Cricetulus griseus: one gene and its partner. The protein of the gene in region 2 purifies or fractionates together with the protein of the main gene of each other region. This does not show direct contact. Links are inferred from orthologs where the notes say so. Each region holds a gene or a part of one and is shown on either strand. Other genes may lie near its edges.

What was found. Proteins that work in one complex are often made in the same cells at the same time.
Region 1: the proteins of Slf2 (region 2) and Slf1 purify together in Homo sapiens (co-immunoprecipitation; 3 studies listed by BioGRID and IntAct, with this or other methods). This does not show direct contact. The link is inferred for Cricetulus griseus from reciprocal best matches to the Homo sapiens genes SLF2 and SLF1.

The regions. Positions count from the first base shown.
Region 1 is NC_048595.1:298,138,790-298,142,444, reverse strand, and holds part of Slf1 (SMC5-SMC6 complex localization factor protein 1), read left to right. Parts: intron 1-116; coding exon 117-257; intron 258-1,536; coding exon 1,537-1,683; intron 1,684-2,531; coding exon 2,532-2,675; intron 2,676-3,655. UniProt on the Homo sapiens protein: Plays a role in the DNA damage response (DDR) pathway by regulating postreplication repair of UV-damaged DNA and genomic stability maintenance.
Region 2 is NC_048596.1:16,631,833-16,635,487, forward strand, and holds part of Slf2 (SMC5-SMC6 complex localization factor protein 2), read right to left. Parts: intron 3,431-3,655; coding exon 3,387-3,430; intron 2,846-3,386; coding exon 2,106-2,845; intron 611-2,105; coding exon 556-610; intron 1-555. UniProt on the Homo sapiens protein: Plays a role in the DNA damage response (DDR) pathway by regulating postreplication repair of UV-damaged DNA and genomic stability maintenance.

The sequences.
Region 1 (3,655 bases), on a different chromosome or scaffold from region 2:
AGGACTTGCTCAGAAAGTATATGCAATTATATATTAAGTTGAAGTCCATAAAATACAATAAATATTCACACTAGCATTATTATACCTAGTTAATGTATTTTTTTAATCACATACAGAAAGAAATTCAGAATGATGAAGATTCCCAAACCAGTTCTGGTTGGACCAAATACAGCAATCAAGAAGAAAGCAAAAATTTTAAGAAAGACTCAGGATCTCTTGAAATGAAAGCTGCTGGAGAGAGCATGTATAGAATCCAGGTAAAGTTTTATGAGTTAAACATTCTCTGATTTTTCGTAAATAATTGTAAGAGAGAGCCCATTTTTGGTAAACCTTGGGATCTGAAAACTAGCATATCAACCTTATATTTTTAGGCCATGAATTGAGCATGATGGAAGTTTTTGTAAGTCTGTGTTTGGGGGCGCTTTGAAATAATGCATATGTGCCTAGAGAATTGTTGAGTTCCTCAAACATGGCATAGTTTCAATGCATGCTAATTACTTAAAACTTCTATATGCTTCATGTGGCACCAGCCTTAGAGGACTTTTCCTCATCTGTGAGCACTCTCTTCATAATTAATCTAAAGTTATCATATAACAGTTTGAAACAAATTAATTTGTATTAACATGGAGAAAAAAACAAAAACACTAGGGCGACTGCAGCTGTTGTGACATGTTTCACAGACATTAATGATAGACAACAATGAAAAACCTCATTGGTTCTACTGAAGAAAAGCTGATCCTCATTTAATACTGTATGTAATAAGTGTATTTATTTTGTTAGTTTATCAGATCAGTTATTCAGTAACTATTTTCTAAACTGAAACATTTTTATGTGTAGTTAGAAACTCATTGTGTTCAAGATAGGTACAATTTAGAAGTTTTTTAAATTTGTAGTCTCTTAAAATCACATGAGGAGTTTAACTAAAGATTAAAATACTTTAGCCTTTTTGCTCCTACTCCTGAATGCAGTGGTATCTGTGTGCCTTTTAAAACTTCCTTCTGTAATCTTGGGTGATGTTTAGTAAGGCTTATTGAATTGGTATGTCTAAAATAGTCATTCCAAATTCAGTTTGAACAGTTTTACATACAGCAAGGAATATTACATACAGTAAGGAATGGAAAATGATAATGTTATCAAAATAGATTTCATTTTATTAAATTTTATTAAATATATAAAAATAGATAAATTTTGCAAAAGATGGGGAAATTATCAAAGTAAATGTAGGAGATTTTACATAAAATTAACAGAAATTTCTCATGTCCCAAAGAAATGAGATAGTAATACTTCATACTCTAAATTAAATAGGCAGGTTATGTAAGTATATCTAGTAAGTTACTTTTTATAAAATGTGGTAAACTAAAGCATATGTTTTCTTAGCCCTTTTTGTATAACTAGAGTGGATTCAAATTCACCTTACATTTTAAATTTACTCTCATGTGTGCTGTATAAAACCTGCCTTTCTAAAATTTTGTGTGACTTCCATTAGTTGTGTTGAACCTATATTAACTCAGTATAATTAATTTTATAATCACACAGAACAAAATGGAAAATCATGACAAAAATATTAATGACAGATTTGTTCTGAGTGAACATCACAATAAAGAAAAATTCAGAGACTACAGAAAATATATGAAATCTGTTAAAAAGAGAAATACATTTAGAAGACATGTACATGAGAATCAGGTAAGTTTTCACAAAAATATTCCTTTTATGTTATAAATCCTTTCTAAATTTACTAAATACAATGTGAGTCATGAAACTTCTTAGGAAGTACTTGTACAGAAGTGTTATAAGACATTTATGCAGCAATTTTAAAGGAAGAAGAATGCCAATTTATCAACTCCTTGGCCAAGGAAAGAATCAGTCTTCCCCAATTTTCAAGCCACCTCTGTGTCATTTCCTAACTGTATCTTTTCCATTTCACATGGAAGTATTCCAAGTATTTCTTATTTTAGAACTTATATTATTTTTCCTTTTGTGTGTGTGTGTGTGTGTGTGTGTGTGTGTGTGTTTTGTTTTAAAGTGGTATTTAGTTTTGCTTGTTAATGAGCATTTATTAGGTCACACTATTTATGGACATTTTCCTCACCTATATGTTTTGTTGTTTGATTGTGTTGCAGTTTTAAACTTCATCCATTTTGTTGTTGTTGTTGACAAGCATTCGGTTTTCTTTTTGTTTCTTTGTGGTTGATTGGTTGTTTTGAGATTATCTAACAGTTCTTGTATAAATAATTAGTATTCTCTTGCGTGACTCTTAGTACACAGGTTTATGGATTTCTCTAGCTGAGAATGTATTCCTAGAAATGAAGTTATTGTCATCAGGACAATATGTCACCTGTTGTTCATGATGCTCTTCTGTTTTTCCAAATGCTTTTTGCTAACATATACACACTTGTCTGTAGGAGAGCTTTTCTTGTGCATAGAGCTCTATTGATCAATGTGTCATGTTTATTTTGTCATCCCCCCCAGCTTATTTGGATTTTGTAACGTTTAATGCATATTCTGATTTGTTTAATTGTGGTAAAATACAGAAAGAAACTAAGAAAAAACATAAGAATGTCCATAAAAGTTACATTTTGAGGAAAAAGAACAGAAAAGAAGATTATTACAAAACTGATGATGAACATGACACAATCAGAAGTACTTTAAAAAAGCATGTGCATTACAGAGATCAGGTGAGACTATAGAATATGTGTTTCTAAGTTTTCTTTTTTTGTAGTCTAGCCAGTGGATGTGCTTAATAAAGATGCTCGCTGTATTAAATTCTATATACTTTTGAACAATTCTTAATGATATACTTATATTTTGCTTTTATATATATTATTTTACTTATATACATTTATTATATTATATACATTATAATATAATTAACTTTGGTCTATAGTAAAACTCTATATTAATATAAATAAGGAAATTTGGCTGACTGTGATTCTTAAATTAAGTTGTATTTCATAAACAAAAAGGAAAAGAAAAAAATGATCTAGAAGAGAGGTAAATTTCTTTTAACTTTTTTTTTAATTTTTGAAATTGTAATATAAATTCAACATGTTTTCCTTCTTCCCTATATATCCCTATTCTTTTCCAAGTTCATGACTATTTTTTTCACCATTATTCAGTAATAATCACACACATATATGTATTCACAGTACATATATATTCCTAACTATAAACTGTTGAGTCCATATAATGTTACTTATTGCATACATGTTTTTATGGTTGACCTGTTGGCACTGGACAAGTCATAGGTGTACTTCTCCCTGGGGAAGAACGTCTCATCCACTCCCACCTTTCCTCAGTTGCCTAAAGTTCTTTCTGTAGGATTGTGGCTCCATGGTGTTTCCCTCATCTACTTTGGCATGTTGGATTGGTGACTTCCTTGTTCAGCTCATGTTTAGACAATCAAGTTGATGAAACTTAATGGGTGTAGCTTCTGATGTTACTTGGAGACACAGCCTCACTTAAACTCTCTGATTCCTCTTACTCTTAAAAATCTTTCTTGCTCCTCTTCCTTCCAAGTTCCCTGAGCCTTAGGTGCATATATTATAGATGTATCCATTGGGACTGGGCTCTACAACTTGGCATATTGATGGCATGTGGGTTTCTGTAGTGGTCCCTGTCTGTCACAAAGAGAAGTTTCCTTGATGTGAGGTAAAGA
Region 2 (3,655 bases):
ATACAAAGTATTCTTAACAGTACACCAAGAATACAAGTATATGCTGCTGCTCCTTCTGGGACAGCATCCTACTGTAGCCCATGCTACCCCAAATTTGCACTCCTCTCCCTCAGTGCTAGAATCACACGTATGTGCCATCAACCTAACATCAAAGTATGTTTCCTGATGTAGCTAAGGATTCTGAAGTGAAACACTCAATACTAGTATAAAGAACACACTGTTAAAACACACTATTAGGAACTCCTGAAGAAGGCAGAGAGAAATCAAGACAACAGATTATGAAGAATAAACTCAAGCACTTTTGTTTGTTTGTTTTTGAGGTCAGATCTTACTCAATGCATTTCAGGCTGACTTCAAACTCTAGATCCTCCTATGTGCCACCATATGTAGCTCTGAGTATTATTCTTTTGAGATATAATTTTTACCCAACTCTTATTAGCTGAGACATTTAATTCTAGGATGGAAACTGAATATGAATAAATTTATTTTTAAAAGTGATATGAAGAAGATGCAAACTTACTTAGAAATTGTATGCTTAAGTCTGATGCTACCTACCTGAAAGTTCCCATGAGTCTGAAGATGATCTTTTTCTTGAGAGATGTCCATTTTCCTATGAGGAATTAAAGAATATGAATTTACATTTGAACAGACTTCTAGACCAATAATCTAGCACCTATATTCAGAGGTAGCTTTAAAAAGAAAAGGAAAACTTTAAAGATCTTAAAAAGAAGGGTATGGGCCGGAGATGTAGCTCAGAGATGTAGCAGTGCTTGTCGGGACACACAAGGCCTGAATGCACTATCTAGCACTAGGGAAACACACACAGCCATCTATCTGTACCATAAAAATGGGAAAACAAATAAACAAACTAAAAAAAAAACCACAAAAATGAAGTCTATGTTTCACAAGGTAATAGTAATTTATATTCATAACTCAAAAATTAATAGTTGAAGACTGTTAGGCTATGAACCAAATATTACATCTATTGATCACCAGCAACATTAGTAGTAAAAGGACAATCTTGTTGCAAAGAGGCTGCTAATTTACAAATACCTTCTAATAATACACAATGCTAGGATTTCTTTACATTCACTCCTAGAATGTCCAGTTTTTGGTTTATCTGATTTGAAATTTTCATAGTAGCTTATCAACACTACACTTCTTTGCAGTGTTGAGGACTCAATCCAGGGCTCTTCACATACTGGGCAAGCACTCCACCAGAGCTGCATTCCCAGTTCTACACTGTTTTTGTTTTTGAGACAGGACTGGGTTATGTACGCCAGTGTAGTTAACTTTCTAGGGAAGAGGGAAAGCTTTGAGGCTGAGTCTGTGTTCTCAAAAGAAAAATGATAGGAATAAAAAATACATGCAGTTTTCTAAGTCATCAGTTATATTTCCAAAACCCATACTCAATCAAATCATAACTATCTAAGATTTGTATATGGGGCTGGAGAAATAGCTCAGTAGTTAAAAGTTCTTGTGCTCTTGTACAACTTGAGTTCTTAGCACCCACGTCAGGCAGCTCACAACTACCTGTAACTCCAACTCCAGAGGATTTGATGGCTTCTCCACATACCGATTCAAATAAAATAAATCAAAGATTTATATATATCTGGAACAGTGATTCTTGAAGTTTTAGAGTACATCAGTTATCTGTGGACTTATAAGCCAAAGACTCCTGGGCTCCAACTCCACTGTTTCTTACTAGGTGGAGACTACATTTCTGACAAATTCCCAAGTGCTGCTGATGCTACTACTGCTCCAAGGACATTTTAAGGACCACTGCTCTAAGTTGTTTCCTGTTCTTTTATATTTGCCATTCCTTAAACACCTCTTTTTGGAAATCTTAACTTTAAAAATGACTATACTTGCCTGAAAGAATGTTTACTTTCCATTAGAAAAGATCTTTGCTCCTGGTCTGAAAAAATTAAGGTAAAGAAATTTACTGAATTCAATGAAGGGTAGTTGGAGGAAATCTAATGAAGCCAGTGTTAGATCAAATTATGCACCTGCATTTCCTTAAATGTTATAGATCAGTATCTTTAGACTTAGGATCTAACCATGGCACAGCAGTGGTAAAGCTCTACTTTTATTATTGTACATACCAGATTTGAAAGATTACTCTTTCCAGGTGCAGCATCATTCTGTTTACTGTGTTCATGCCTTGGCTTACATTTTTTCCCTACACTAGATGATTTTAAGGAAAGATTGCTTGTTTCTGAGAGAGAATTTTCCGAGTTGATTCTCTGTTCCATTTGCTGTTCCTTTCTCAACTTCTTCTGCTCTCGTTCTCGGCAGTAAGAAGCTAATGACAACTGGAACTTAGCTCCCAGAGGGCTTTCTCCTGGGTGGTGCCGGGACAGGCTGCTTCTGCTGCTAACACTCCTGGAACTGTTCTTGAAGATGTCACCTTCTGTAGTCGGGGACTGCTTTCTGGAGTCTTCACTGGTCTTGCCTCGATCTCTGTCATTCTTTTCCCTGTTACTTTCATGAATGAACAGTGACTTCCTTCTCTCTGGAGATCTGTGTTTTTTCTTCCGTGTCTTCACCTCTTTGGACAATCGGTAAGAGGAAGGAGCATAGATACCTGCTCCTTGGAGTAAGTATTTGGAGCCGACTGACATACAAGGCTGCCGTGATTCATGTACGCCATGATCTTTGTGGTGCTCTTTCCTACCTTTCATGAAAGCTTCTAAAATAGGACTTTCTTCTGATGACATTCGTTTGGGTTTGGGTTTTTTTGGTGAAGATAATTTCCTTTCAAATTGCTCTGTCCCACTGATGGATACTCCATTTCCTCCATATTTGATGTTTGATTTTTGTGGAGAATCCAACATATGTTTGTCTAAAACAGCCACAATTAAAACACATACAAATTATGTTATTAAAAGTAAACTAATGTTTCTATTAACTATCAATTTATAACTGTACTGAAGCTACTAAAAAATTCAAGCCAATTACATTATGGAAGAGAAATTAAGAAATAGGTTTACCTTTTATGAAGTAAAAGCCCTTCTGCTATATCATCTAACCTCCCTAAGGCTCTATTTGTGAGCTACTGTACTAGAGAATAAAAATAATATGAACACTGGGAGGCAGAGGCAGGCAGATCTCTGAGTTTGAGGACAGCCTGTTCTACAGAGTGAGTTCCAGGACAGCCAGGGCTACACAGAGAAACCCTGTCTTGGGAAAAAAAAGGATAAAAAAATATCAACACTATAAACTGGATTATTTTAACTGTTAAATATGTAGAACAGATGGCTTAATGTTTATCACATCTTCATTATAATTGTATAATTTTCAATTCTGAACAGTATAATAAAAAGTTTGGAGGCCCTCTTCACCTCTAAAACAACCCATCAAAAATACATTAACAATATGCATACCTTGTTTAGAAGCTGGCTTGAAGAAATCTATGATTGATTGTTTCCTGAAAATAAAAGCACAACTAACATGGCATCACAAAACCAAGTATTAAAGCCTCCATATTTTAGATTAAGTGGTAAATGTTAGATTTATATAATATAGGCTTGATTCCACTAACTGAATTAACTAATCAAGTTCTGACAAAGATAATCGTACTTTGCCATGCTACAAGAAAACTGAAAATACAACCAATTTTCTCTACGTTTATAAATACAACTGATATAGCACT